Linked DNA regions of Lonchura striata. The protein of the gene in region 1 purifies or fractionates together with the protein of each later gene. This does not show direct contact. Links are inferred from orthologs where the notes say so. Each region holds a gene or a part of one and is shown in the gene's direction. Other genes may lie near its edges.

Region 1 (8,216 bases):
TACAAGGACTGTGCTTGATATGGAGGTCTGTGTCTCTGGGAAATATATTATGATGGATGGTTATTTTTATAATCTTTTTGTTGTCATTTGAATGTCATAAATATCTGTCAGATTTTCTAAAAAAAATAAGTCTTTCTTCAGACATTACCCGATATAGAGGACATCATTGAGTTTTCTCACTGAAAGCATGAATAAATTAAATTGATCTGTTTCTGCAAACAATGACCACTGGAAAAGTCTATATACCAGGCATTCTAGCCAGTCACCAACAAATGGCATTTAAACTAAAAAAATAGTGTGAGACATCTAAGTTCTTCTAAAGGTGAATGTGTACCATTTTCCTTAGGTCTCTTAAAACCTTCAGTACAAATAGGAAAAGTTAATTACTATGCTCTCATTATACTATACCTACCATTGCAGTTTTCTTCTAATCCACCTTCCTACTCCTAACAACTCTTTAAAAGGTAAGATTCTAAAAGAAAATATTTGAATATTGATGCTTCTAGCCACTTATTTAAAGACAAGCATTAGAACTATTGAATTATGCCACTTTCAGTAAAACCTGTATCTGCAAGTTTATGTGCTGTGCACTGAAGACAGAGTTTTCCTGGCTATCAAACTGCCAGGCACACAACTGCAGACGGAACCAGTTTCAGGCAATTGCAGAGACAATCAGAGAATGGGTACATCTGTCCTAGGCACAATACGAAACAGATTAATTATATTTACACACATGACATAGACATGAAGACACTGCACAGAAAAATGATAGGCATGTAAGAAAATATACTGGCCTACTACTGTTTAAAACTAAGTCATTGCCCTTACTATCAGCATGAGCATTCAGGAGCAGGGCAAGCTCCCCCAGTTCCCAAACTATTGCATAGCACTAAAACAAAATCACTATTACTCTTAGCAATTTCCAGCAGCAATTAAGGAAGGATATTGAGCAGCCTTGAAATTCAAAAGCAGTTGGTAGATAGCAATATTGTCAGTGCTTACTGGGCAAATAAGCTATCTGAATCTGAGCAAATATGAACCTTTTTTTTTGTTTAGTTCTCTTTATCTATGTTTTCTTTAATGATTTTGACATTCTACATAAAGTGATTTCATTAGCAAGGTATTTGCATGATGAAAACTATGTTTTCTTCTCAGGAAAGTGACTCCAAAACTTTATTTACTCTTATGCTTTCCAGAGCTTATCTAAGGCCTATCAACAGCATGAACAGAACAAGTCAAGAGCATTGTCTGTGATTTTTCTCCACACATATATGTCTGTTGATTACAAGCTTGCAGCTGTGAATGGTGCTAATAGGTATCACTTGAAAATGCTGCTTTCACAGATAAAAAGAGGGTGGTAGGAGAAAGGAATATGGCTAGGGGTAAGGGAGGTGGGTGGGGTGTGCTGAGTTGTGCTTAATGGTATAAGCTGTAACTCTTATATGAGGAGTTGAATTTATGAATATATTTTGTATGTTTCTCTAAACTAGTTTGGATTGTTGGGGTTTTTTTTTCTTTTATTTTTGATTTTATGGTCTGGAATGAGGTGATCTTAAAGACCCTTTCTGGCCTTTGCTAATACAGAGATTCATCAATTCTTAGGTGAATAATTTTCTTTGCTTTTTAAAGAGAAGTTTTGTTGTTTCTTAATGGTTTGTTGGTTGATTTTTAGTTTGGTTGGCTGTTTGGGGTTTCTTTTTTATTTGCTATAGATTTCATTTTCAGTTTTAGTGCATTTTTTTTTCCTGTCAATTTCATTAGTTATTGAGCTCTGTTAAAGAGAATTAAGGTGGCTATATCGACGTGTGTGCATGGGCTTTAATAGTTTGGATAAGAAATAAGCTTAGGTGATGGCAAGCTTTCTAGCTGTATCGTTCTGCTTTTAGATTATGCAAGGAGAGAGAAAGAAGGTGAATTGTTCATCATTTCATGGTGTGCAAAGTAATACTGCTTTTCTATAGCAGCAGTTAAGAGAAAAAATAGGTGCTCCAGATCCTCCATTTAAGCTCTGTTTTAAAAATACCTTTAGTTGAGTGGAGGTAGGGAGAGTGAAGGGATTTGAGAATTATAGATTGCTTTTTGATAAGAACAGTAAAGGGATAAACTGTTACTTATAGAGACCTTCTTGTCCATTATTTGCCTCATCATTTTGTGAGTTTTTACAGTAGATGTGATTTAGGATAAATGTGTAAGAAATAATAATACTTTCTATTGCAATGTTGGATGTATATGTTGAAGATGAAAGTTACTCTTCTGTTTAAAAGATCCTTATTGCTGCTTTTTATGTCCCTTCCCAAAAAAAACCTTACTATCTAAGGTATAACATAAATTCAGTGTGAAATAACAAGCTAATGTTAATATAATGATGCAGGGAAAGAGTGAAATAACGTTAGCATTCACCCAGTAACAGAAACAAGCCATTACAGGAAGGTAGAAAAAAAATAATCATTACATTATAAAGTGTCTGCATGTTGCAACATAGTAAAAGTAACAGCAGCCTTTCCCAGTGATACTTTGTTATCTGGTCTATTCAGTTTTCCAAGGGGCCTGGGCCTCAGCTGGCCGGTGTGGGTGTCTGTTTACCCCACAAGTGACGCTCCGAAGTTTCCTCTCGATCATTAGCTTTTGTGTAGCATGCTGTTCACTTAACAAGCAGCTTTGAAGACATCTGCAAAACCTGCATTGCTAGAAGCGGGACTGGTCTAGGAAATCACCCTCGTATACACAACCCGTGAAACTTGATATTTAAGCTTTACTGACCTTTAAATGTAATAGTGTCCTTACTGTCATACTGAGCTACTGTGAATTCAGTGAATGAATTCTTACCCCTTTGACAAAAGGATAACTTTATATGCTTATTGACACTTTCTTAATGCAGGTATGAGTTGGTATTCAAGGAGTTTCTCTAAATAAGAGCTGCACTTGCCTAAATTCAGATGTTAGAAGACTATGAATAATTATTTTTGCCCTGAAAGCAACATAGCCTCTTTTGATTTAGGCCATTTAAACCAAAATAAGTTATTCCTATATGAGGTTGAGTATCCATTTGAGACTAATTAAAATTATGAGCTTTTTTTCTTCACATGAAGTCCCTAATAAGAACTTTAACAATACATCACTGCTTTTATTGAATTCCCTATGTGGTGCAATAAAAGTATTCCTGATATTGAGGTAGTTGATATGTTGTTTTACTATTTTGATAGAAAAATTTATCAGACAACTACAAAATGTTGAGTAATTTCATAAACACATTGAATTTTAGTGGTCAAAGAAGCATATAATGCGGTGGTTAGCCAATACAAAATCATGGAGCTTCTGGAGTCCAATCTAAGTCTGTTCAAGTAGTGACAGCACTAAGAACGCTGAGATAAAAAGGAATTTATCAGTAAATGGATATCGTGCCTCTGATAGTGTTATACAGGTATTTTGCTGCACTTCACACCAAGAAACAAACATCAGCTGTATTATAAGATGTAGGAATAAATTTTGTATGCTATGTCTAAGAGAAAAATTTCCAAATGGAATATGAAAAAAGCTCTTTAAAAATGCTATACCATCTGATGACATCGTAACATAATATCCTTTAGTTAAAAGGTGAAGGATGGGGGGTGGAATCCAGGATTATCCTAAGGTGTTTGTGCATGCATGTGCTTAACAAACTTATTTTACAGTTGTCTGTCTCTAATAATATAAAATTATTTTTTTAAATCAATTACAAGGACCCAGACCCCTGTGAGGTACTTCTAGGGGAAAAAGCAACCTAATCCTGGGAACAAAGACCAAACCTGTGTTCAGGCATGTATTGGTTTTGTGTGACATAGGTTATACTTGTTGCCTTGTTTTCAAATAGTGAAGCACATGTGGCAATAACCAGGGGTTTTAGTTACTTTTAGAGACTCCAGCAAATCAACAAACTTTGGTCAAGACTTGGATGAGTGTAAAGTCTGTAAATATAGGCCTTTGGGGTCAGCTGAAGAAACAGTAAACTTTAGTGTAACTGATGTGTACCCCCAGACTCAGTTTATCAGGCATCACAAGTGTGAATCCCTGTATAAATAGAAATACAAGCAAGCTGGCTAAGCATGAATGCCGTCATGCTTCTCCTTCCTGAGTTTGTACCTGAGCCGAGGCAAGGAGAGAAAACGGCTGATAGATCTCCAGAAAAAAATTATTCAGATGTTAAATGCTTCTTGTGTGGCATGCGCTGATTTTTTGGGAGAATTGCTATATGAAGCATGCTTTGAACTTCCTCTAGAACAGGAATACTGAGATGCAACGCCTGCCACTAAGACAGAGTACTGACAGACAGGAGCACTCAAAAAAGCCGAAACAAAACAGAAACGAGTTTTGTTGTGGAAAAGAGTAGACTTTCAGTTGGGGAGGGGACCAGACGCGACAACCCAGCCGGCCGAGCATCTGCAGACGCCCTGATGAGGATGAAGTTCGGGCCCTAGCGCGGCGGAAAGCGCTGCGCGGTTGGGGACGAGGCCCCGCGGCCCCGGGCGGTGCGGGGGCGGCTGAGGGGCTCGGCCGCGGCCCCGGGCGGCGCGGGGCCGGCTGAGGGGCTCGGCCGCGGCCCCGGGCGGTGCGGGGGCGGCTGAAGGGCTCGGCCGCGGCCCCGGGCGGTGCGGGGGCGGCTGAGGGGCTCGGCCGCGGCCCCGGGCGGTGCCGGGGCGGCTGAGGGGCTCGGCCGCGGCCCTGGCGCTGGGCAGGGCCGGGCCCGCTGCGCCCCAAGCGCGGCGGTCCCCGTGCCCGCTCCTGCCGCAGCCGCCATGGGACACCCCGCGCATGCGCCACACAGCTCCGCTGAGGGGCGGGGTACCGCCCCGACACCCGCGGCGGATCGTACCACTGCGCGCCGTGGGGGTGGGACAGAAAATAGTTTTCTCCAAGAATTTGTTTATGAAGAATTCCCACTGGCTTCTTCCCTGGCTTTTGTGTATAACTAAGGAAAACTTTCACGGAGGGGGCGGCGGGAATCCACGTCCGCTCGCGTGCGCCTTCTCCTCTTCCTTCTTTCCCTTTCCTCCCTCTGTCGGCGGCAAATTGGGCGCGTCCCGCTAGCTGCCCCTCCCGCTGCCGAGAGTCCGGCCCGCTCCCGCTGCTGGCGGTCCCGGCGTCGCGAGTTCCCGCTCTCCCGCCCCCTCCTTCCCACCCTCCGAGCCGGCTCCGCGCTCTCCTCGGCTTCCCGCTCCCTGCCCACGGCCCCGACGCGGCAGCCCTATGGCGTACAGTCAGGGCGGCGGCAAGAAGAAAGTCTGCTATTATTACGACGGTGAGCGGGGCCGGCGCGGGAGCGCGCGTGCAAGAGCGGGGGGGGCGCCCCTCTAATGGCCGCCCGGGGCGGGCTGTGTTCCTGGTCCCGCCGGCACGGCCGCCCCCGTCCCGCGGGACGAGGCCCTCCCCTCCCCACGCCCGGCCCGGCCCGGCTCGGCTCGGCCCCATGGCGGGCGGGGGTCCTCGCTGGCTTCACCTGCGCCGCCGCGCCCCGCTCCCGCCGGCGGCTCTGCTGAGCCCCGCGGGGCGGCGGGGCCGGCGTGGTGGAGTCGGGCGAGGTGAGGGTCGGGGAGCTCCCTTATCCCCCAGCCCCGGTGGTAGGTGCTGTGGCCATTGTTTCGCCCCAAAATACTCACCACCCGCCCGCGCGTCGTGCCCCCCCCCGCCCGCCCCCTAAAAAAAAGAGGAAAAAAAAAAAAAAAGAAGAAGAAAAGTTGAGACACTCCCCTCCATCCGCTGAGCAGGGAGGCGTTGAAGCTGCTGCTGTGTCTGGCTCCTCCCCTGCAAAGAAAGTCCAGGCCATGTGTAGCTCTGGCACCTGGTGATTGTTGAGCCGAGGCCTTTCCCTGCCTAGCGCTTTCATGCCGAGGTCTGGGGTACGGAGGGACAGGGGCTCTCTGCCTCCTCCTCCCCCATTCCCAAGCCGAACACGGATCAGAGCAGAGGTCTGGCTCCCACGAGCCTCCCTTCCCGCAAAACGCGGAAAGTTGTGTGCGTGGGTGGTTAATAATAGTGGAATTTGACTTGCATGTAGGCCCTCTGAGTTTGCCACACTGGTGTAGTGGGGACACAGGGGGCTTGCGATCGGCGTTGTCAGTCGTGGCAAAAAAAGTGCTTGGTTTGAGATATTTTCAGCAACTTGTTTGCGGTTTTCTCTGGCCGCAGCACCAAGAACTTCTAGTTTTCTTAAGCTTGAATTTATTTAGCCCTTTTTGTACTGGGAGGTGAGCTAGATGGGCAGATTAGTTTAGAGATTTGATTAAATTGCCTCCTATTGTAACAATCTTGTATGGCTGCATCTGAGACTGGTCTTGGAAATAGTCAGCAAACAGAGGTTGAGGATGTTCAGCCGGAGACCTTTGGTGTTTTCACCATTTTGGAAGTGAAGATGAGTGGCTAAACCCACTCAAGATATCAAAGGTTGTGTTGCTGTAGCAAACCTGCTGTTCTTTGGAAATGGCAGATCTTGTGGGGCCTGTCTTGGCTTTTTTTTTAACCACACTAAAGAAGGCAGAGTGGTGGTTGCCGCCCCCTTCTCTTTGTTGCTAGCAGTGGTTCTTTGTTCAGCCTAAAGGGGAAAGGAGGCCCCTGTTAGGGATACTTTTGTTGAGGCTAGGATCTTACTTTTCCTAGGGAAGAGGAATCACTTTTCGCCTTGTTGAAATAAAGACAGCAGTGATAGTTTATAAGCTTTCTCTCTGAAAATGTTTGCCTTTTTTAAAATCAATTTCCTTTTTTTTTTTTTTTTTTTTTTTATTTGATAAAGTCAGGTAGCTGTAGTTCACCAGATGTTGATACAGTGTTTTTCTGTGATCACTGGATTTGGTACTCGATGCTAGCATTAGATTCCCTAATCTAATGATTAAAGCTATACTTGTGAAGAGTCAGGAGAAACTGGAAGAGGAGCAAGTTTGGAGGTGGCAGGAAAATGGTGACTTAAAGCAGTTGCAGCTTATCTGTAGACTAGGATAAATGTAGTTAATAATGTAGAGAAGATATTACCTGTTGTACCTTAAAATAAATATTTTATATGTGCCAGAAACAGTTTTGGAATATTTTTGATGTCTCATTTTTTTGTGTTGCCAAATCCAACAATTATTTTGCATGCCTTTTGGAAATAGAGTTATTAGAAAAAATTTTAGAGTTAATACCGAAAATAGATATCCTGATGCTACTGTGTGGTTCATCTGGCAATTCTGAATAATACTAACTGTTGTATCAGCAAAGCCATTGAATCACAGTGAACAGAGTGTTTGAAGCCTTAAATAACCCAAAACAAAAAAAAATACTGAGGTAGTGGTATATCTCTAAAGGAATGTCATGTCTGAAGTAAATTACCTCTTTTTTTGGGTCATAATTGGCTCTCCACACGTACTTTTACTCTGTTTCTTAAAAGTTACACACTAAAAGGTCTTGAAAAGTTCCAGAAGCATATACGCTTATCTTCTGAGATGCAATAAACTTCCCCCTGCTTTTTGTGAAACTTGGTATGATTGTCATTTAATGCTGATTTTTTAATTAGCTTGTCACTTCTTTAGAGTGTATTGTTGTTAAGGCTTTTTTTCCTAAATCAATAGTTTTAACAGTCTTCATACTGTATGTGGAACTAATAAACTTTGAGTAGACAAAGCTTGATTTCATTATCTTGAGTTTGCTCGCAATAGAAAGTTAACCACATCCAATTTTGCAGAATCTTCACTGCTTGTGATCATGCTCAGGTCAGGAACTTTGCTTAAATTTAAGCCAGTATACTATGGGAAAAACGAATTAAAATATGAATTTAAATACTTCCATGATCTTGCTTAAAATATTTTTCAGAAATTCTTCTAGTCTTGATACAGCTTAACAAAGTGTGCTCCTCACACTGCTTAGAACCATGCTAGATGTGGAAGGCTATCATAGTTTTTAGTTTACTCTCTTGCCATGTGTCTTCAGGTTATTGTCATGGTTTTGCAGCATTGTGGCTCAGGTAGCTCTTCCAAGGTGTTGTACAGTTGCCCACAGCAGTGAGAACAGACCCCAGATGGTCTTTCCAGCTCTGTGCTCCTGCACAGACTGGCACAGCTCTAGAGAATCGTGCAGCAACTGGTGTGGTTACTGTGAGTTCATGTATTTATTCCATGCCGGTGCACTAGCAGTATTGTTTAGATTGGTTCTTGTGCATAATTTAGTGTGGGTGTTCAAAAGGCTCTACCTTCATGAAAAAATTTGAAAGATCT
Region 2 (7,167 bases), on another chromosome or scaffold:
GGTAATTTGAAGACATATTATATTATGCAATTAATAATAATCTTATAGGATAGGATATATTGTCTACTTATTTAACCATTGGAAAGATCACTTTTGGTTAATTAAACTGAAAATTACACAATCTGCTTATAGACAGGTAGTGATTTATTTATAAATATTACAAAATGTATATGTAGTCCAACAACCATAATGAAAACCACAGGTAATGTTCTGTACAAAGCATTTTTTTGTAATCTAAAAAAATTCTATGGGTTCTGTTACGTAAAGTAAAATCACACATATGTGGTATAATGGAATCATAGATTGATTTGGGTTGGGAGGGGACATGAAGACCATCTGGTTCCAACCCCTGTAGCATGGGCAGGGGCACCTTCCACTAGACCAGGTTGCTCAAAGCTCCATTGTACCTGGCCTTGAACATGGCTGGAGATGGGGCATCCACAGCCTCTCTGGGCAACTTGCTCCAGAGCCTCAAAATCCTCATAGTGAAGAGTTTTTCCCTAAGTATCTTTTTATTAAGAGCTTTAGTCTACAAAGAATAGCTGCTATGCCTGATGAAACTCAAAATCAGAACACTGGTAGAGGAAGTAAAACCAAAATGATGAAGCTGTTACTGATCATAGATGTTTTAAGATTCTGCTTTCTTTTGTTTTGATTTTGTGTTTTTAATTTCTTTTCCATCCACTACTATTTCTTGAAGTTTCTCTTCTTAGTATTGACCAAACACTAGTAGACCACAATTCCATTATGCCATGACTATGAGAACGTATGTTCCATCAACCTGTACACTTTATTCGCATCTTTCTTTTTTGTGATGGCCAAGAGGGACTGAGGATAAGTAGATAAAGAAGTAAGATTAAGGACAGAAAAGTAAGAGAAATATTGGGAGAAATGGTAGGGGAAAAAAGAAAAGTTGTTCTAAGCCTGGAACAAATGCCACTATATCATAGATAAATAACGTTGACAGCAGGAGGTGGCTTTAAACTATGTTCATCCTGTTATTACAATACAATATGCATCACTTGAAGGTTGCCTTGGTAAGTGCTTTTAAGATGTCTGCTCAAACATAAACTTTCCAAAATATGTCCGATTATTCCTTCTCAGTTCAAATACAGTTGACTGTTTTTTGAGAAAATAGTCCTCCATTACAGCCAGAAGGATGTCACTCTTGTTATAAGGTGATAAAGAAACTCTTGGCTCAGCTTTGTTGAATTTATCTACTCCCAGTCAATACATTTGACATTTTCTAGTAAGGTTACTGACATCAGGCCTGTCCATGAAAGAAGTGTCCATATAAATACATATGCTTCAGTTCTCTGGTGCTCATGAAGAGATTTTACTGCTTAGCATATGAGCTAATGCTAACTCTTTCAAACCATAAAAATAATTACTCTATATGAATTATTCTTAAAAGTAATCTGAATGATACATGGTTCTACAGAGGAAGAGGAATTTACATGGTTGCCTGAACTTTTTGTCCCTTTTCCTGATGTCAGTTGAAAAAATAAAGGAAAAATTATGGTGTATTTAATTACTTTTGGCTATATTTCAACATATGAATTTAAAACTAAGGTTACATGTCTATAGGGGGACAACAGTTCTGTGGAGTTATAAACTTTATTATATAAAAACATTTCATATAGTTCCAAGAGTGCAAGTGAAACCATTCAATTTTGTTTGAGCTGTGTTACCTAAAACATTAATGAAAATGTTCTATTGCTACGTAACAGACCTAGATAACACTGTTAGGTAATGTCTCTTGCTATAGCAGCGGTAAGATGCAAAGTATTCTCCAGTTACTTTTCATACCCCAGATTACTAAGAGCAATAGGTTTCTCTTAATGTGTTCCTAATTAGAAAAACACTTGTTTTCTACCATGCATTGCTAGTGCTTCAGTCCTCTTGAATTTCTTTCTGAACTCCATGAGAACATAAATGCTTATGGATAAGCACTGTTGTAGAACAAAAGGCATCTTCCTGAGATGTATGACTAGGAATGTCGGCAAATTTGTAATATGGAGGACAACTTAAAACAGCTTTGAATTTTACCAACCTAGATGATATTCCAGGCTAATGATGAGGATGGTCAGGAACTAGCTGACTTGATGGAGTGAATGGGATTCAATGTTGAAATTTCAACAGCTTTCTGGTTACATAATTAGTCTGGTAGTGTGATACTGCAGATCAAATGTTTTATCAATTTATAGGGCAACTTTGATACCTTCAAAATGGGTGATGATGCATGCAGACATGACACTTTCCTCGTTGGCAATGGTTGTATTAGAGTGCTTTGCCATCAGCTCACGTAATTTTTTGCAGGCAAGCTGCTGCCAGCCCTGAGGGAACTCTGTCCCTCCACACCAAATAGCCCTTCCAAGCTTCATCTAATGAGCAGTATGTCTTGCAAAAAAAGCGCCAAAACCAGCAAAACCAAATCCACATTAATTCCACTCAACAACATAGAGTAACAGTGCTGGAGAAGCTTTTGGCTTGAGTTGTTGATTGGAGCTAGTGTCTCTGGGTGGCATCATTGGGAAGAAATTAGATGTATTGTTGTGACAATGGACGATAGAAAATTTTCTCGTCTCTCCCACACATGAAAATTATTAGCCAAACACATCAAAGGTGGTGGAGAGAGGAGACATCCCTTCAACGACTCCTGCGCCGCTCGTGAGGGAGGCTGTCCCTCAGGCTGATCCCGCGGGAGGCTCCAGCTCCCGACTGGAAATGGCGCCAGCCGCTGAAACCCAGCGCCTTGCGCACGCAAGAGCCGCTCTCTCCCCGGGGGACGCTGCTGCGCATAGTTGACACGGATTGATCCCGGCTAGAGAAGGCAGGGCGGGCATTGCGCTGTCTCTCTCTCCCTCTTCTGGGCAGAGGAGGATGGGTAGATGGAGCAGAGCGGGACCAGCGCGCCAGACGGTCCTCGAAGGAGCGGGCGCTGGTGCCATGGCCAGCGACGGGGAAGGAGCCGCGCAAGGGAAGCGCGCATCCTCCATTTTGGCGAAGGGCGGGCGGAGAGTTGGCTCCCGGCGCCTGGCCGGAGCAGTCGCTCCCACCCCGCGGCATTGCCGGGGGCACCCGGCTCCTTTTCCCGCGGGGAAGCCGTAAGGAGGCTGTTCAAATGGACGCCCCGCTGCGCCTCACGTTGGTTCGAATTGGTACCAAGCTCCCCGCAGCGGCTTCCGACAAAATGGAGGACGCCACCACCACTGCCACCACCAACACCACCACCACCACCATCTCCTCCAGGAGCCATGTCGGCGGCTGATATGGCGCCCTCCCCCGCGGCAGGCGGGGGCAGCAAGGCGTCCTCGGCTGAGGAGGCGCTGCTCGGCGGGGCAGGCTGCGGGGACGCGGGTCAGGCGCCCTCCCTAGGAGACGCGAACTCTCCCTTTTCCCTCTGGGAACGCTTCCATTACCCATGCTCTATCCACCATGGGAATGACCCCAGGTTCAAAACCCTGGTGAGGGGAAGGAAGGAGCGGAGTGGGGCCCTTTGGAAAAGCACTGCCAGCCCCTATGGCTCAGCGCGGGGTCCGGAGTGGGAGAGGAGAGCCCGCGCCCCACGGCCGTAGCGGTGGCGCCCGCAGGGAGCGAGCGCACGGCCGGGACGGCTAGCGCACCCTGCCCGCGGCCGGCGGCGCGCAGCCGGCTCGGCGGCACCGAGAACTTCTGCGAGTTGCCGCTGTCAAACAGCGGCGCGGGGAGCGCCAGCGCAACCCTTGGGCACGGGTAACAAGCCGGTCAGTGGGCAGCGATCCGGGTTCCTCAAACCTGATGGATCAAAGTGGGAAGAACCCCAAGCATGGCCAAGAGGAAGATTGGCAGTTTATAGGGTCAACCGGCTGCGGGCGGCTCTGATGGATGGGCGGCGCACCCACTCGGCTAGCCCAGCGCCAGAGCCCGCCCTCTGGGAAAGCCAATGCCGGGGCAGGGAGGCGGATCTCCCCGAGCTCCCTTGGCCCGGTTCCTCCTCCTCTTCGCCAGCGGCTGCGCTTCGCCCGGGACTGGACCGAGTTAGAGTTGAGGCGCCGGAGGAGTAGCGCAGAGTGCGTGCGTCCCCCGCGGGGGGGTTCGTGCCCGCAGGCGGTGGGGAGCCGGGTAAGGCGCGGACACGGGGCGCTGCGCCTCACCGGGGCGGGCTGGCGGGGGGCTGGCAGCGCTTAGCTGCCCCCAGGGCGGGGATGGGAGGGCAACCGCCGTGCCTCACAGCTACCCGGCCAAGTACCCCGCGGTGTCGCTGCCGCGCCGCCACCTCTGGCGGCGGGGATGCGGGCGGCACCGGGGGCAATCCCGCGCATAACCATCGCGCCGCGGCGGGGGGCGGTGGGGAAAAATGGGGGGCGCCCGGGGGCAGCCCCGAAGGGGGGGGGCAGGGGTATCTGGGGGAAGGGCCGGGTCTGCTCTAGCGCCTCCTATTTTAACTCTCTCCGTCCCTTCCCCGCCGGGCCCTCGGCTGTTGTTCTGCCCCTGTGCCTCCCCCACCCACCGCCCTCGCAGCCCCCCCGCGGGTACCTCCCTCCCATCCTCTCCCCTCCCCTGCCCGGCGCTCCGCGGCTCCCCTCCCGTATTGTTCGGCTGGGTCCCTCTAATGGCGGACAGGAGGCGGTAGTGCCGCTGGCCGACTGCAGGGGGGCAAACCCGAGACCGGGGGCAACTGCCGCGGGGGGCGCGGGCGCTCGCCCGGCGCCGGGGCCGTGCCGCTGAGGGCCCCGCGGCCGCTCCGGGCGCCGGTTCGGGGCTTACAGGGCAAGTTCGCAGGTAACACTCGCTGCTCCCCGCCGTGGGTGCCGCCGCTGCCTCTGTCCCCCACACTCGCGGTAGAAGCCCCCCGGTGTGGCGGCGCCCGGGGACAGCTCCTTGTCCCTCCTTCCTTCAGCGGGGACAAGCTGCGTGGGTGTGCCGTGAGGTGTACCCCACCGCCCCCGGCGAGGGCAGTAGATTTGTTTGTTTGTTTATTTATTTGAAAGATTGGGATTAAAGGGAAGTGGTGAGTGATGCAGGCAGTACCTGCCCTGGCCAGGCGATGGAAACGCTCCTTGGGGGCGCTGCCTGATCCTCGCTGCCCCGTGTTAACCCCATGTCTTTCCCTTAGGCTCCAGCCCAGTTTGGTGCAGCCTTGGCAGCGACCAACAAGGAGAGGGAGCTCCATTGTGAGTGCTATTTGTGTATCTGTTTCTGCCTTTGCCAGACCTCCTAACAGCGGGCTTGAACCATTCCCCCCGCCCCGTATTCTCCTGGGGCAAGGGGTGGAATGAGGTCCCTCTAGGGCTGGGTGGGGAAATTCCTGCGTTCAGTAGCCGCTGCCCTGGGGCGAAGCCCCAGTAATGGCTGTGAGGCGGCTCCTCCTCGGAGTGGGCGCTGCTGCTGCTGCAGACATCGCTCCTGCAATACCAACTCCGGCAGGCAGACGACGGGCTGCTGCCGCTGCTCACGTTACCCGGCTCGGGAGGGAGGAGGAGGAGGGCATATTTCGGGTGCCCTCTAGAGTTGTGTAGCGTGCGTGAACACCCGTGACAAGACACCTTCAGCCATCTTGAATTTTTCTCCCCTCCTCCATTGCTCGAATCACGTGTCCCGCGTATCATCTCGAAGCTAAGAAGAGGCATGGGAGGTTTAAAATCACCCAGCAGTTTGTAATGGAGAAGCACGCTCCATGGTCTCTTTGTGACTGGTTCACAGACTGGTTCTCTACACCCGCAGATTTGTATGGGTGGTCTTGTTGGGTTTCTTGGCTGGGCTTCTGAGCCATCCACTTTGTCCCTTCCCCGGGAAGCTGGAGGACACTGGTGAAACCCACAGGTAGCGAGCATTTTTGGTGTTTTGTCTATGTGGAATTTTGAGAGCAGATTTTGATCTCTGTTGGGTGTTAGGTTGGCTAAGGAGAGGCTTGTTGCCTGCCAATACCTGTGGGTAGGACTGGGATATAACTTGAATCTAGCTTCTACCCTTGTTAATATTGGGGCTGTATTTTTATCTGCATGGGGGATTCCGAAATGGCCAAGTAGCGCGGCGAAGGAGCGAGTGAGGGTGCGAGCGCTCGGGAGAGGCTCGGGAGCTGCCGCGGCGGGCCCGGGCGCGGTGCGCGGGCTGCGCCGCCAGAGGCGCCGGCGGCAGCGCGGCGGCTCCGCCAGGAGCGCGCAGCCCGAGAACAAAACAAAAAGGCAGCGCCTCTCTCGCCCTATGGGTCCCTCGCTTGGTTACAGCACGGATTCAGGTGTTGCGGTCTTCCCCAACACTCGTATCTTGGATTTCCCCCCCGCCCCGTTTCTGTCCCTTTCTGTTTTACATTTTCCAGATTCGCAGAGCTTGCAACTTTCTTTGTCACTTTTTGGTGGCTTACATATACAAAGAATAAGTCGTTCGCTGCAAAGCCTCACTGCTTAGGATGAGGACATCAGATCTCTATTTGTTCTGCACGTATAAAATTATGAACTGCATCAAAGACTTGTAAGAGTTTACATGGCATGTTATCTTTAATAAAGTTGTCTGTTCCAACCCTTGACTTGCTACAGCAGCTTAAAATTTTGAACAGTAATTTTTAAATTCTTACCATATCTTGGATGCAAGGCTACCATCTGATTTTACTTCTGATTCATTTTTTATGCATTCCAGTCTAATAGCTGTTCTTTTTTTTCCGATTATCCTTCATGTCAAATAAAGTTACTTTAAGGAAATATCAAGGCAAATGATGCTTTGGAAGAAGGGAGACTGTTGTGTACTGGAGGTGGTAGGTGGCACATTGTCCTCCTCCAGCTGCAATGATGGTGGTATAGCCTTCTTATGGCATGTGATAGGACCATGCTGTTCGGGGTATTTGGTGCTTAGTGCTGCAAGGTCATCTCTAGGAACCAAACTCGTCAGCCATGTTATTTGGTGGTTAAGCTAAGTAACTTATTTTAATAGAAGTCTGTCTTAATTAGAGCAATAAATTAATTTTATTATCTACTAAATTGGCTTTATATTGTTGTTATTAATCCTCTCCAACCTCAAATATATTATTGCATTTTCCTGTTGCTCATCCTGTAATAACATGCTAATAGGGATTTGCTTCAGCAAGGATGTCAAAGTGGCAATGAAAAAATGAAAGCAAGTTTCTCTGTCTTTTATAGAGCTTGTTCAAGTATGTACAGAGGGGAATAGTACAAAGCTGGTACAATGTCT
Region 3 (8,247 bases), on another chromosome or scaffold:
AAAGCAATGAAGCAGCTACTGCATTCCCAGCACTCTTTCAATCCTTCAGCAACAGCCAGGCTGACCACATCACTTGGCACTTTTGACATGAACATACTTTTGTGTCCATCACAAATAGCTGGCACCATCACTTCCTCATTCTGTACCTCCACACAGAGAACATACTTCAAAATAAACAGAAGGAATAATGGACTGTCTCTGATATAACGAATTTATGGAGCTCAGGTTAAACTGAGGACATCATCCCTGGTAACCTATGGTTTGCTATGACAGCCAATGATGTTTGCATTTGCAAGAGAAGTTTTGTCTAATTTAAGGAGTAGGATATGAAAGCACCTGATTTCATTGCTGCCTGGTATTATGGTGGACTCTTCATGAACCATATGCTATATGTCTGCTGTCCAGCACAGGAGCTTTTTAAATTAATATTCCTCAGAGAGGTGATCTGATATTGCTTTTGCAGGCAAAGAAATGGGTCTGCTTTAAAAATAACCTCTTATATGAAATGATGCATCATAGCAATCCCATGCAGAACAGCAGCTAGGAAATTATTCCATAGCAACGGCCACATCTTAATAGAAGATCATCTCCTGGACATCTCCCTCTGCATTTCTGCAATTACCAACTATGTCTCCTACCATCTGCAATTATATAAAATCCCTCTGGCAAGTACAGCTATTGCTTACATGGAAAATTAATGTAGTGGAGCAATGGGACCTAATAACTAAATATAAGAAATGTGAGTTATTACTACATTACTATCTGCCAAGCTTTACACCAGCTACCAGGAGCCATTGAGCTGATCATTATGTGAACTAATTTTGAATTCTTTGACTTAATAATATAAATCATAGCTCTTGGATTTAATATTATCTTTGCACAATAATGCAGAACTTTCTCCTGCCACTTGACATTAAAAATGCAGCAATGCAAGAGGCTGCTTTCAAAATCAGAAAGGAATTAATTGATCTGCTCAAAGGACAATGTGGGAGCCAGGTTATGTTGGCAGCAGCTGTGACCACAGGAGCAATGGACAAGTGTGCCTGGGTACTCCAGGGTGCATCAGGCTTGTTTCAAAGCACACTTCTTCCATACTGCTCAGAAAGAGGCATTTAAGTTTCCTGCTGCCCCTGCGTCATACTGCTGTTGGGCTATTGGTTTTATAAATCAAAAAGCACTTTGATTCTATGTAGAAGAAGCAGGTTTTGAAGTGATTTATATGGCAGGTTAATATTATCCCTAATCTACAGATTAATAATGATTTTACAAACTTTGGTCTTTTTTTGTCCCAGCATCCCTTGACTGTATTAATAACTTCCTACTCTGGTTTTAGAAGGTGCAGATATCATAGTGGCTCTCATTTTCATCTTAAAAATTTAAGACATTAGGCTTCTTTTTTTAAAAAGTGACATTTTATTTAAAGTACTTTGAAAGCAATTAAACATTTTCTGACAGTGGGTATAAACATTGATAAAAAATTCCATAACTGACATTTTTCTAGAAGAAAGCAATGACAAATGGCATCCATGTTTGAAAAAGTTGCACAAATATCATCTTGGGGAAAACAGTAAGACGTCGCCTGCCTAAAAAGATTTGGAACAAAGTAAATTATTGGTACTAACCTATCTCTGTCTACCAGCCTAGGAAAGAAATCTTAGACATCCACTTTTTGTGCTCTGGAAGTATTAATCTCACCATAACATAGCAACACCAGTCAGCACTTCTGCCACAGAACAACATGCCTGGCAATTAATAGAGTTGCCAGTGCCTTGACAAAGTCGAAGCAGGAGGAAATGTTCTGAAGAGGGAGGATATCCCAGTTGTCATGACTTGGATGTCAAAGCAAAGATTGACTGTTTGAAAATTGAATTAATCCTGCTCACCTGTGGCAGATGAAGAAAGGCTGAGTGTAAAACAGCAGCTCAGTCCAACAGTTAGCTGTCAGGTTTTGAACTGTGCTGAAACCAAACTGCAATTCTCTGGTGGTCTAGATAGAGGAGATAAAAAGGGATCATTATGATCAATGGCTCTGACCCTGAACCAAACAGGTATCAAACATACTGTGCTTCCAGCACCGTTTGTGGGCAACCTTAGTTGCAGAACTTCCTGATTTTGATTGCTAATTTTGAGTAACAGGAAAGCTGAGTTTCTTCAGAGTGTCTGGAAAATAGAGGGAAGTGAAAGCAAAGGCCTGGCCCACACACATTCAAGCCCTGTGGTGCGTCATTTCTCGGGATGGTAACGACACCGGTGGATTACAGCAACCTGCTGGAAGGCCAGGGTGAGCTCTGTAAGTCACAGCCAGTACTGCCCTGGGACAGGCAGTAATTCTGTGGGTCACTTTAGGAGCATGAGCACTGAGTGGATTTGGTACAGTCACTGTGCCCCTGTGATGGTGAAGGCAAGAATGCCACTAGCATGATGCACAGTACAGGTATATTTATCTGTGTCACTGTAAGCTGAAGTTAAGAAGCATGGATTAGTCACATAGTCTGCAAAGACAGAGGAGGCTGAGCAGCTGAAGGAGGTTCAGAAAACCCCTTCTGAGAAGCAGGTCATGTCTGAGGAATCTGTCCTTTTCACCATGTGAAGTTTGAAGGAAAACAGCAGGTATCTGCTGGTTAGGTATACAACATCCTGAAGGAGTATTTCAGCAACCTGCAGTAACCTAGCACATGTATTCTCACTAGCCAATAAACATACAACAACAAACAAATACCAGTGCCAAAAGAGGTGACACATTTAGAATTAGAGTAGCTATCCCAAACTGAAAATGCTTACCTAAGTTTAAGAGGATTACCCCCAGCCCTTCCCAGGCTGCTCTCTGTCCCCTCCCAGGTGATATTTGCTTCTCCACCACCTCTGTTGCATAAACAGTTAAATATTTGTATTCTCAATCATTTAGAACTTTCTTCTGCAAATAGTCCCTTGATTATAGATTCAGTGTCAAAATAAGAGCAAATAAATGTAAGAATATGAACTGTTTATATTAGAAATAAAGGCAGTAGAACCCTGGAAATACGCTTTTTATCAATTTATAGATAAATAAATATATCACAACTGGCAAAGAGAACAAAATCTAAGCCAAATTTGTTTTAGTGAGGTAGTTCATGTAGTGTAGTTTCACAGGCTTTCATAGAAACTTCAAGACAGTCACAATACATTGTGTGCTTTCAAAATGGGCACTCCTTGTAGATCCAGCAGATGTTCAATATAATAAATCTGTGTTTTGGTGGGAGGTGAGCCAGTCAGTGCTAACATTACACATTATCAACAGCAGTTTTCATACTAGCATCCTATTCCACAGACAAATTGTTCAGGCCCTCTGCAAACTCAGGCAGCTCTCACTCCAGAAATTCTCACCAATTGAGAAGGCTTTGAAAGATAAAATTGGAAGTTTTGAAGGCTTTCTTCAAAAGCATAAAATCCATAGACATCCTTTCAAGCCAGACAAAATGAACAATGATAGCAGAAGAGCACAGAAAGCGACCTTTGGGTTGTAAGGGACCTTAAAGATGATCTAGTTACAGCCCACAAGTCCCTACCCCTTCCATCAATCCCATCAGACAATGTTGTGTGTTCTTCAATTTTACACAGGCCTTTGCAGCTCATATCAACAGATATATCTAGGGGAAGGTTGGCTTTGTGGTTTGGGTTTGTTTTTTTTGTTGGATTTTTCTTTATTTAAATAAAGCTTGTGTGGGTGACAGGAAAACAGTGTGAAGAGCCATGCACTTGAGCAACACCAGCTCTGCTGGGTACTCTGCACAGCATACAGAAAATGTTACTGCGTGGGCAGCACTACCAGCAAGGAAAAAACAGAGCGGGACAACGAGGAGGAGGAAGAGGAGGAGAAGGGGGAGGTGGGAAGGAGATGATGTGTGTGGATAGGAACACAGGGAAAGCAGTGTGTCCTCAGCTCGTAAGAGCTGTGGCAGATGGCCTAGTAAGAACTGTATCCATATCCTTGGGTTAAGGGCAACCAGGGTACTTACCCAGCAGAGAGCCTTTGTTAGGCAAAGCTGCACCACTGCAAGACATGCAAGGTACAATCAGCACCCAGGGAGTGCAGTCAGGACTGGGCTGCATTTGACCCTGTGGTGCACTGAGAAGTAATGAGAGATGTCTCCGGAGACACTGAGTTTAGCTATGTTAAAAACCAGACCAGGTCTGGCCATTTAGATGGATGAGAGCACCGCAATTATAATGCCTGAAACATTTTTTGAAAGGATTTTCTCAGACCAGACACACATTTTACATAGACTGCTCCCGCTCCCCTGTTCTTTCTTTTTCTTTTAAACCCCCTTCTTCCTTTCTGTGTTCTATTTTGTATGACAAAGGTCCTGTGATGATATGCTGATATTCAGCAAAATAAGGAGAGCTGGAGCTCAGAGTGGCTGATGAGAAGAGCAGGAGAGAAACTCCTTGTAATCTAGTAGTAATGGCATTATGCCACTTGTCACCTGGTACAGTTCTACCCATGAAAGAACAGCAAGGGACACTGGGGAGGAGGCTATGGGCTGGCATTCTGCTTTGGGTACTGAAGGAATAGGATGCTCCATTCAAATGGCAGTAGCACAACAGTCTGGGAACACTAGCAAGCTAGGAATCTTCCAGAACTTTAAGAACTCCAGTTGCTTCTAGTCCCACCATTATAAAAACAGAGGCAGTCTGTTGTGACTTGTCTGTCCCGCAGCCAAGATCCACTGTAGCAACTCCTCTTTTCCACTGGCAGCCGGTGGGCAAGGCAATGGGGAGAGGCAGGAGAGAGGTGGAAAAGGGAATGAACCCTCGGTCTGGCACAGGGTGTGGGGGCAAGCAGCAACCCAGCGCTCCCAATCCGGCAAGGTGAGCTCAAGGACATCCGTGTGGCCCACGCACAAACGCCTCCAAAGGCTCCATCTGGGGCCTTGGTAAAATGGCACTGAGCCATTTTTGTATAGCACGAGGGAGGTGCGTGCCCCTCACGGAACAATCCAGCTGCTCGTTCTCTTCCCTCCATGAACTTCAATCTTCGGAGACCACAGCGCGAACGCCTCGTTCAGACCTCCCCGTCCTGAAAACGTGGGAGCGGAGGCGCCTGCACACAAAGGCTGGGCCGGCAGCAGCTGCGGAGGCCGCGGTGCCGAAGCGCAGCCCCAGCAGGGACCGGCCTTTTCAACAGCCGGGCGGGCGGGCGGCAGGGCCGGCAGCAGAGCCCCGGCAACCTCCGGGATGGCGGCACCGGCGGCCCAGCCGTGAGGGGATCCGTGAGAGGATGGCGAAGGATTTGAGCGGAGCGCGGGGAGGCCGTGAGGGACGGTGAGGAGCGGCGAGCCGCGCCGCCAGGGGCGGGCGGTGGATGTGACGCGCGGCGCGCGGGGCATTGTGGGAGCTCCGCCAGCCCGTCCAGCCGATCCCGGTGGCCCCGCGGGCGGAGCGGAGCGGCGGCAGCGGGGACGGCAGCGGGGACGGGAGCGGGGCCGCCGCCGGCCGACCGGAGACATCTTGCCCGCGCCGTAAGTCACCGCCGTGGCCCGCCCGCCGTGGGCAAGGAGGGGGCGCGGGGCGCTCTGTGGCGGCGCGGTGGCACCGGCGGGGTGGGGGGGCAGCGAGCCGGCCGGGCGCGCCGTGGGACGGACGGGAGCCGGTCCCCTCCCCTGAGGAAAACCGGGAGTCGGCTCAGCTGCTTCTTGCTGCGCCTCGGGTGAAGCCGGGAGATCCACCCGCGCCCCGCGAAATGGTGGCAGCGGGGCTCTGTTTCCCTGGAATCCGCTGTGGAATGACGGTGTGGGGCTGGGGGAGCCGCGGGGTGCAGAGCGGCCGGGGCTGGGAGCCGCGGTCCCGCGTCCCGGCTGCTCCACGCACGGACGGGCTCCGTCCTTGTCGCTCGCACCGCGGGTCGCCGAGCACGGGAGGATAATCGAGGGAGACTGCGAAAAACACAAGGCAAAAAACAGCAGGACTCGTTTTCCGTGTGTTTCACTTCGGGATGAGGAACCCGCGGTGTAAAAGTTACCTGCCTCGTTTGGATGACTTAATTTTAAAAAGCCTAATGATGTATTTTAAACCGTAAGCAGAGGCTTCTGAGAGTAGTAAAAATAAATGTTTGTCTGGAATCAGGGCTCCTTATTCTTTTAGGACTGTCACTTCTTGTGGAGGCTGCAATATGTCTGCCTGCGGGATTTGAGCAGCCCGTGTGGACGGGCTGGGGGTGGGAGTTCCTCCGGGGGCACCGCGGGTGCGGCCGGGCAGGTGAACGCGGGTTCCTGGGGCTCCCCCGAGTGCTGCAGGGCGCAGGTTCCTGGGGCTCCCCTGCATGCTGCAGGGCGCAGGTGAATGCGGGTTCCTGGGGCTCCCCCGAGTGCTGCAGGGCGCAGGTGAGTGCGGGTTCCTGGGGCTCCCCCAGTGCTGCAGGGCGCAGGTGAATGCGGGTTCCTGGGGCTCACCGCGGGTGCTGCAGGGCGCAGGTGAGTGCAGGATCCTGGGGCTCCCCCGAGTGCTGCAGGGCGCAGGTGAACGCGGGTTCCTGGGGCTCCCCCGAGTGCTGCAGGGCGCAGGTGAACGCGGGTTCCTGGGGCTCCCCCGAGTGCTGCAGGGCGCAGGTGAACGCGGGTTCCTGGGGCTCCCCTGCGTGCTGCAGGGCGCAGGTGAGTGCAGGATCCTGGGGCTCCCCCGAGTGCTGCAGGACGCAGGTGAACGCAGGTTCCTGGGGCTCCCCTGAGTGCTGCGGGGCGCAGGTTTCTGGGGCTCCCCTGAGTGCTGCAGGACGCAGGTGAACGCGGGTTCCTGGGGCTCCTCCGAGTGCTGCGGGGTGCAGGTGAGTGCGGGTTCCCGGGGCTCCGCACCCGCTCCAGCTCAGCAGCGCTGGGACTCGGACTCCAGGCTGACGTGTTGGTGCGTGTAGGAGACAGGGAGGGCAACAGACTGTTTCAGTGACTTGCATCTCCCTGTAATCCTTTTGTTTCTTCTGTAATATTTAAAAGTTGTAGAAGGCCCATGAAATTTTGCCTGAAGCCAGCTAGTTGGAACTAGCTCCTATGCTAGCAGGGTGGTGTAAAGCTGAGGTTGCTTCATTTGTAGAGATGGAAGGAGACTTGTTGTTGAAATATACTTGGATGAGACTTGTTATTTATCTCTTGACCGTGCAAGTGAACAACCATTTTTTCCCCAGGACTGTGTGTGGCTGTCACTTAGCAACAGGTCTGTAGAGAACTTGGCAGATCCACTGCCTCCCCCATTCTGAAGAGTAAAAGAAATAAATTAGCAAAGGAGCAAGAGTGACATTAATAAAAACAGTACCTGGGTTCTTAGGGACAGCCCAGAGCTGAAAGACTTATGTTGGAGCAAGACAATTACAGTTGCTTTGAAAATTATGTTTTAATGCAGTTGGGTATGGAAGATTTTGCATCAAACAGTCCCTAGAAAACTACTCAGTGTATTTGGGAGTTTGGAGCTTTTTTTTTTTTTTAAGTGTTGTGAAAGAAAGGAATTAAATTGTTTACTTAGTAATGGTTACAGGTTATTTTGTTGCACTGTGTTTCATAACCTTTCACACTGAAATCTAGACCTTCTGGGTTTTTGAACAGTAACTTTGCTTTTCTGTGTGTGCTGCTTCTGATTGCCAGTAAAGTCAAATGTTGACAGTGTAGATTAAGCCATAACTGATATGAAAACTAGTGGTAAGACTAGAATTTGGCTTAAAGTCAGTAAAGTGCTTATGCACTGCTTATTTTGTAGATCAGCATGAGCAAAAAGAGAAGTCCACCACTGCAAGCTTAGTCTTAAAAGAAACCAGTGTGTTTAAATTTGTTCTTAGGAGTTGCCTAGTTCTGCCGGTGCATAGCAATGATCATTGATAAAAGATATTTTCTTGATAAGGTAGGTGATAGAATCACACTCTGGAAGTATAGTCATGAACCTTTGCTCTCAGAGAAGTACAGAAATATTTTTGTGCAGCTCTGTCAGCTAGTTTCAAAGCTTGCTGTCTGTTCCACAGAAAAGGTAGTCCTACCCCATGTTGGAATCAAAGAGCAGGGATCTGTAACTGATGCCACAAGTGGAGAAAAGAGCCTCCAGACAGTTTCTCCATTGGGAGAGGAAATTTTGGCCCTGTGGGTAGTGCTAAGCATTAGGTTTTGTCATCTCAAGAGGTAAAATTGGAAAAGAAAAATAAAGCACTCATGGAAAGACTGCAGGGCTGGCTTGTTTGCTTGCTTGGGAAGGATGCTGTGAGCACATAAAGAAGCTGTAGTTCCTTACCCAGGC
Region 4 (7,829 bases), on another chromosome or scaffold:
ACCTGAAATGTTCCAATTATTTTAAATTCTAATAATTGCATTCAGTTGATACAAGTAGACTTCCCAGGTATCTTAATTCAAGTGTATTTCATGGTTCCTTAGAACTCAAGGTTGAAATGCTATGCAGACTATTAAAAATCAGAGTTTGGATTGTAATTGGGAAATACTAATTTTGCTGTGGGAAGAGCACAATTTAACCTTTGCTCATGGTCCACATGCTGCTGTTCCACCCCCAGTCCGCCCCCCAGAAAGAGCTGGCCAGCAGAAAGTGTCCAGCAGCACTGCCCCCGAGGCTCCCATTGATCCCTCACAAGTAAAGGCACAGATCCCCTGACATCTCTGTCCCTGCACTGGTGACAATCCAAGCAGCCCTGAGACCTTGCTTGCAAATTCGGTAAGGCTGCTGGTTAGTGTGTAACACAGGGCAGCCTTGGATTGAGGCTCAACACCTGCAAATGCACTTGGCACCAGCCAAAATGTTTTTAGTAGAACATTGGAATAAATATATGCAAAACTGGAATTCAATAGTCTGGGTAATTTCTTAGAAATGCACACAGGAAATAAATGGGATGAAACAAAGCCTTTCCATTGTAAATGCAGCATAAAGTGGTTTTAGACAAAAGTATCTCTCTCTTTACACGTGGCAAATGTATCTCCAAAGGTTACTTTAATACAGATGCTTTCCTGAAAATAAATAGTGTAGGATGAACTTGCAATGTTGAGGCAAAATTGTTCCTAAATGAATATGCAAATCATATGAACACATGTTTCAGACAAACCAGATATTGAAGTGGACAGTGCTGCTTACCAAGGTTCTTTGATGTCCATGTTGTGTTCCACCTCTAGTCATAAAGAAACAAGTTGCTTTTCTTGCAGTTATGAGAAGCTAAAATAATGAATTTCATGTTGCTGGTTCCAAACTAGAGATACAGAACAGCAGCAAATGCATAAATACATGGAAAGGGAGATGGAGACGTGGAGAAATAAGGGCTATAAACAGAATAACAGCTGCTGTCACATGTTTCCATTCTGACAGACCTTCAACAAGCTGCTTTGCCATGAATAGTTGCATAGTTTAAACCCCATGATTACAATAATGACATGTGGTAACTGAGTATTCATTCTGCTGCTGCTGTTTCATTGAAAGAAAGACTCTGCATAGAAAACTGCTCTCAATAGCTTAAAATGCCAAAGTGTTTTTAATGATATTTGAGAATCTTTGAGCACACTAACTAAATGGAAACCACATTAGGAAAATTACGTTTATTCAGACAAAAAGAGAAAGGTTTTCTGTATTCTGTGTTGTACAAGTAAGGAGGGTGTTTTTTTTGTTTTGTTTTTTTTTTTTTTTACTGTGGACTACTGTTCATGATAGCAGTTCAGAATATAAGGAGCATCTTCAGACAAGTGACTGTTTCTACTATTCTCCAAACTAAACAAAAACTTTAAGATTTGGTGTAAAGTTCAGTGCAGTCCACTGCAAAAGTTAAGTGACTTCATACCTTAATGTTTAACAACTCTCTATCTCATGATAAAGAGGAAGAAAAAAAAGCCCAACCTCCTACCCAAAAACCAAAGTCACATGGAATGTGTAAATTAATCTATTGAATTCTCTTCACAAGAACTAACTGAAAAGATGCTCCATGAAAATAATGTAAGCTTTTGGTGAAACTATATTCATTGGTAGAAACCCAACTGAACACCATGTGGATTTTTATAAAGTTTCCCACAAAAAAGGCCTAATATGTGAGAATAAAATGTTAGAAGCCTTTTCTAAGGGAACAGTAGGTGCTACTGCTATTAGATAGTTTAAAGTATTGCTATTTTAAGAAAAGCTTCTTTTTAAAATCTGAGGCTGTGGCCTTTTTTTTCTCAGGCAAGCATTAATGTGCTCAGCTGAGCCTGAGGCAGGAGCCAGCCTAAGCCTGGGCTTCCTAACACCGAGAGGCATCAATGCTTAACAACATTGTGAATTGAAAAATGCTTTGTAATTGGGAAATACTCAATATTTAGCTGTACTTGGAGAACAAAGCCAACATTTGTGCCACTTAAATGTTGGTCTTGCCCAGATTCAGAGTAATGGGATCTCAAAGGACTTGTTAGGCACGACTCTGCCTATGAAAAGACTCAGAGGGGACTCAGATTATAGCTATCCTGAAATCTACTGGTGATACAGTAACATTATTAAATACTATAAACTATTGTTATTATCAAAATTACCAAAATCAGAATAAGAAAATAGGATTGAAGCTTGTCTGTATAACCAGTGAATTTTTTTATACAGTACTTTCTTCTTGCCAGTTGAATACTGTCCCATTACAACTTCAATTCTTTCATGGTAACATTGCAAATATTATAATTTAACTCTTCCTATTAGTTGTAATTTTGCTCTCATGCATCCTAATCTTGTATTTTAGATATAATTTAAGAATTCTCTAGATAGTACTTTGGCTGTGGAAAGAACAAAACCCCTGCTGACCATAGCTGACTAATTAGGAAGTTGTTACTTAACCAGGATGTGTTTTATAACCTTTTTCACACAAGGTTGCACAGCACTTTAGGAATTTAATTTCTCAGTTTGCTGTGTTTTGTCAGCACATTGGGGCTGACAAGAGCCCAAGGCTGTCAACTCTCCTAGGGGACACTACAGGAGAGTAGGATACTTCCAAATTGCCTGGAGTGCTGAGCAGAAATACAACTCAGGAGTGCTTCTCTCTCCCACTCTAAGGTGGATTGGGTGTGTGACTTGCTCCTACTTTAGAATTTTTGTTTCCTTGTAAAATTATAGTTGCACACCAAAATACTGCCATGTGCAGGCAGCTGATGTTCCAGGCAGTGGAAACATCTCAGGCCATTCAATTCAGCTGGAGCCTTTGGTGACAACAGCAAAGAAAAGGAGCTATCAGGTACTTAAAAACTCATGTGTAGCTTTTCATAAGATAGAAACATTGCATAATTTTCTTATTTTCAATTTTAAATTGGTGTAAAACACATCTTAAGTGAGGCTTGGTCTTGCAAAGTGCCTCGACTCTGTTAAGAGAGAAAGTAGCTGTACCCTTAAAACTATATTTCTTGTTTTTATCTCAGTGCTGGATTAAGCCTCTGAAATTATGTAAAAGAAATAGTTTTGGACTTTCAGAACACAAAAGTTATATGTTAAAAATTAGAATAACATGAAAAATACTGTATGGTAAATCAGTTTTCTAGCTAGGAACTGTCTTGTTTGCATTCAGTAAGGAAAACATTTTTGTTTTTATGGAGTAGTTGAACAGCTGACTATTTGCTCTATGAAGAAAAGCAGGGTATTGTCATAGATATCTGTGAGCTCTAGTCATTAATTTATTTACAATATACTGTTACTATACTCAGCAGAGCCCCCTGCTGTTATGAATCCTCCTCAAATACCTTTCTGTGTTTGGCTATGTCTGGACCTTATCAATTAAGGAAAAAAAATTAAAAATCCAAATGTAAGCTCAAGGTCCTGGTTGTTTGGATTTGTTCTGAATTCAGGAATTAAATCCGGATGTTGTGCCTACATAGAACATATTTGCATTTTGGCATCAGTCACAGTTTATATGAAAAATAAACCTGTCTTTGTTGTATCTCTGGAGAAACACCTGCGCCAATGGACTGGTATAGGCTGGAGAACAGGGAAACAAATCCACCCTCTGAGTCATAACTGCAATACTGAGGAGGAAAGGAAAAGGGCAGACAAGGCAGTCTGGTACCCGAGCACACAGCCAGAAAACAACATTCACCTGGGAGCCCCAGTGCCCACAAGGACAGCAGGACGTGCCCGTGCCCTCTGCGGGAACCGGGCTCAGGGCAGAGACTGGTGGAAGGGGAAGAAAAACAATCAACAGCTTGTCCTGGCACAGGAGAGGACATTGCGAACACTGTTTGAGTCCTTATTCATCATGCTGTATTCATAGGTTGGAGAGGGCTGGTATGACAATCTGGAGGATACTCGCTAGGACATAAACGCAATTTATGTGTCAGAAATTAACTGAATAGCTGTTCCAATGGCTGTGGTCCTGGTCCTGATAGTGGCCTGGCAGTAGCACACTGTTGTCTGAGGGCATTGTACTCGAAAACATCCCGTTTGTGACGGAACCCTCCAAAAGGCACGGCCAGACACCCGGCTCTTGGACCAGCAGTGCAGCAGGCGATAAACACCCGCCTCTGCTGCGGGCTTGTCTTTTTCTGAACTGAGGCGGACACCGGAGAAGTGGTGTTTGGTGCTTCCTGACGGCAGGGACGTTTCTGTCAGCTCCCTCATTCCCGCTCCCCCCGCCGTTCCCGCTCCCCTCACAATTCCAGCCCCGGGGCCGTTCCCAGCGCGGCCGCCGGGGGGCTCCGAGCGCCGCCCACGCGCAGCCAATCCGGCGGCGTGGGCGGGGCCGGCGGCGCGCGCGCGCGGAGGTGGGCGGGGCTTGTTTTCTGGCGGGGGCGCGCGGGGCTCCTCCCGCTCCTCTCGCCGGCTCCTCACTCCCGCCCCTCACTCCAACCGCACCTCCTTCCCCCGCCCCTCCTCCTCTGGCCGCCCCCTCCCGCTCCTCTCGCCAGCTCCTCACTCCGCCTCCTTCCCCCCGCTCCTCCCGCCGGCTCCTCCCGGGGCGGGCGCTCCGCCGCGGCCGTGTCATCCCAGCCACGGCAGCAGCGAGCATGTCCTCCAGTAGGGCCAAGAAAGTGAAGATGGCCACCAAGTCCTGCCCCGAGTGCGACCAGCAGGTGAGCGGCTGCCGGCGGACGCTGGGCTGTGCAGGGGCGGGCTCGAGTCGGTGTTCGTGTGAACCAAATGGTTGTTGCCTTTGCAGCTTCTGCATGGAATGCGGGTTGAACGCCGCGTCCCTCCGGCAGGGTAGTGGAGTGGTTGTATTGTGCTGAGGGGTGTCTGCGCGACTGCAGAACCTCTTGTTTATGTGCTGGTGTTGTTCAGTAACTCTGTGATGTGTTAAAAACACAATGAACCGGGTGATGTATATAATGCAGTTTGTCCTTTGGATGACTGGTGAGCCCGGGTCTCGGCGGGAGAGGGCTCAGAGGTGTTGTTTTCTCCGGGGGTGGTCGGGGAGCAGCGAAATGGAGACCTTTGGTGCAATTGCTGCCCGGTCCCCGAGTGCCGCCCGAGATGCTGGTGTTGCGGGTTCCTGGCGTGCACAAAATGGAGCTGCTCGCACATACAGAGCTGTGCACCGCTGCCTTGCCGTGTCAGGAGCTTGTCTGGTTTGCTGGGAGTGATGTGAGTGCTGGAAGCAGCCGGTTCGTGCAGCCGAGCCCGAACAATGGCCCGGCGGTGCCGCGGGCTCGGCCGGGGGGCAGCGCCTGTCACAGGGACCCCGGTGCTGTGACCCCGAAAGTCACCCCTCTTCACTGCTTTAGCCACACCTGGAAAAACATAAACAGCCTCATATCATTTTTCTCTGCTTGCAGAGCTTTAGAAAAAAAATGGCATTTTTTGTTCTGACTTGCATAGTTTTTGCAGTATTGCTGCTCATCCTGGCACGGTTGGGAGCGCTGAGCTGTGTGTGGGCGTCCTTTCATGTTTTAACCAACAGAGCAACCGCTGCAAATGCACGTTAAGCACGTCACTGAAATGCTATTTCTGAGAAAGAAATCGTGTGCCAAGTTCTGGTTATTCAGTTGGTGAAAGGAGAAACGAAAACGAGGGAGAAATCATACACGAGAGTGGTGGTGTTTTTCTTTTGTTTTCTTTTTTTTTTATAAATGTAGTGAATGTCAAACTACCAACAATAAGTAAGGAAGCACTGTAGGATTTTTTAAGCTGACGTGAAAACTGTCACTTTGTTCTGCACTTACATGCATATCATGTATTTTAATTTTTGTCAATGTAGATTTTCTGTTAGGAGCTCTTCCATGGCTTCCATGGATTTTATGTGCTTATATGTCCTGCCCTGGCACACATTGCTCATAGGACCTTGTTTTCCACTGCCAAATATTTGAGAGGGAGCAAGGAACTAAGGCCAACAGTACAAGTCAACCCTTTGCAGATTTTGAGGAAACTCATATAATCCTTCTCTGACTGTGTCCAATGCTGGTGTTTCTTAAATGCTTCCATGAGCAAGGGCTTAGCATTTTTTTCTGATTTTTTCAGTAGAAGTGACATTAATGGAAATATTTAGACAGCCACAATTATTGGAGCAAAATATTGAGTTACACTTCTTAGACTTCAAAACATTTTTCTGTTGTAATTTAGATAATAAATTTCAGTATTTTCACAATCAAAGCACAGTTCCATTAAACTAGGGAGCCTGAAGTACTTGTAGGCAATCTGAGGAAACAATAATCACTTTTTAATTTAGCATCAGGTAAAATGTCTTCTATGAGAAAAATTCCCTTTTTATTAGGAAAATGATGAACAATGTGAAATAGTGTTTAGGACTCTTTTGCCTTAATTATGATGCAGGATGTTATCAGTGTGGATCTTCAAAGGATAACTGATAGGTTTCAGTGATAAGCCCCTTCCTCCAGGCCCCTTCACCCTCAAGTGCTGCACACCCCTACGTGATAAACCTGTAACACGAGAACAGTATTGTTCTGTTAAATAGACTTGAGTTCGTTGAAAAATACTAAAATACTGACCCTGTTCCAATCCCCTTGGGTGGCTTTGCCAAAGTTTTGTGGTTTTTTGTTTTGTTGTTTTTTTTTTTTTTTTAGGCCAAGCCTGGAAAGGTAATTATTGGTGAGACCCAAGTGTTCAGAAATGGATTTAACTGGAATTCTGTATCACTTTAAGAACACACACAAATTATCAGTGAGATAGGGGGGCTTTAGTACTTCTACACTGGCATATGAACCAGGAGACAAATGTGCACACAAGTCTGCTAAATTCTGGCCTTTAAAGTTCAAGAAAGCTCTATTGGACTCGTTTTTATCACATCAGTGTCTCCATAAAGGGAGTTAAAATTTCTAGTTCTGCAAAACCCATGTCAAAAAGTCTATCTGCAAGCTTTTTGTAGGATGAAATGCAGGAGTTCAGATGTGCTACAGAAAGCAAAATAACTTGTTTATTTTGAGTAGCAGTTAAGTTCCCCTGTACAAATTCACATACTAATTTGGCAGGGGTTTTTGAGTCAGTGGAACTTTGGAACTTGGTTCTTCCTCATGTCTGGTTAAATTGAGGGGGCAGTTGTGGTTCTGTGCTCCTGTTTGTTCCAGTGGGTATTGGCAAACTTGTAGTGACCTGTCTTAAAGAATTACATTTGAGAAATTGCCTCTTTTTTCCCCTCACTATCATGCTTCAGCATGACTCCACTGTAATGTGTGTTACTTAATCTCTTCCAGATCTCTGCCTAAACTTGCTTTGATTTGTGTTTTCAGTCTTAAACCTAATCAAAGCAACATGGTGTATTGCTTAGTACTCTAAAAGATCTTAAAAGATCTTGGCACTAAGGTAACGAATTTTGTAATTTATCAGGTTTTTTTTTTAATTGCACTGAGTGGATTTTTGTTATTTTTCATATTAAATATGGCATTTCTTGTTTTACATTGTCATTTTCTGGGGGAAGCATACTGCTGCTGTCTGCTTAGCTGATCAGAGGCACTGTATTCTCTCAAACTCCTGGGCCTGCAGTCAGTTCTTGCCTGCCTGGGCTGGGTTATTTGCATTTTCAATTAAAGAGGTCCTTCTGTACCCACCCGGCCTTGTTGCCTTGTCTGCAGCGCTGGAGCAGAGCGGGCTACAGATGCATCTGTTTTGCTTCAGGCTCTATTGTGCCTCTAAAGCTGCTCCTCTCTAAAGGAGCTGCTTTCAAATGCTGCTGGAAGTGAACGCATTCACAATGTACTGATGGTTTTAACTCATAATT

What was found.
Region 2: the proteins of HDAC2 (region 1) and ZMYM2 purify together in Homo sapiens (affinity purification with mass spectrometry; 7 studies listed by BioGRID and IntAct, with this or other methods). This does not show direct contact. The link is inferred for Lonchura striata from reciprocal best matches to the Homo sapiens genes HDAC2 and ZMYM2.
Region 3: the proteins of HDAC2 (region 1) and MACROH2A1 purify together in Homo sapiens (affinity purification with western blotting; 3 studies listed by BioGRID, with this or other methods). This does not show direct contact. The link is inferred for Lonchura striata from reciprocal best matches to the Homo sapiens genes HDAC2 and MACROH2A1.
Region 4: the proteins of HDAC2 (region 1) and C13H16orf87 purify together in Homo sapiens (co-immunoprecipitation; 4 studies listed by BioGRID and IntAct, with this or other methods). This does not show direct contact. The link is inferred for Lonchura striata from reciprocal best matches to the Homo sapiens genes HDAC2 and C16orf87.

The regions. Positions count from the first base shown.
Region 1 is NC_134605.1:67,188,396-67,196,611, forward strand, and holds the start of HDAC2 (histone deacetylase 2), read left to right. Parts: upstream 1-5,090; 5' UTR 5,091-5,223; coding exon 5,224-5,275; intron 5,276-8,216. UniProt on the Homo sapiens protein: Histone deacetylase that catalyzes the deacetylation of lysine residues on the N-terminal part of the core histones (H2A, H2B, H3 and H4).
Region 2 is NC_134604.1:72,084,924-72,092,090, reverse strand, and holds the start of ZMYM2 (zinc finger MYM-type protein 2), read left to right. Parts: upstream 1-3,964; 5' UTR 3,965-4,104; intron 4,105-5,098; 5' UTR 5,099-5,156; intron 5,157-7,167. UniProt on the Homo sapiens protein: Involved in the negative regulation of transcription.
Region 3 is NC_134617.1:9,010,316-9,018,562, forward strand, and holds the start of MACROH2A1 (core histone macro-H2A.1), read left to right. Parts: upstream 1-5,202; 5' UTR 5,203-5,301; intron 5,302-5,372; exon of another isoform or gene 5,373-5,498; intron 5,499-8,247. UniProt on the Homo sapiens protein: Variant histone H2A which replaces conventional H2A in a subset of nucleosomes where it represses transcription. Nucleosomes wrap and compact DNA into chromatin, limiting DNA accessibility to the cellular machineries which require DNA as a template.
Region 4 is NC_134615.1:9,961,843-9,969,671, reverse strand, and holds the start of C13H16orf87 (UPF0547 protein C16orf87 homolog), read left to right. Parts: upstream 1-4,587; 5' UTR 4,588-4,665; coding exon 4,666-4,731; intron 4,732-7,829.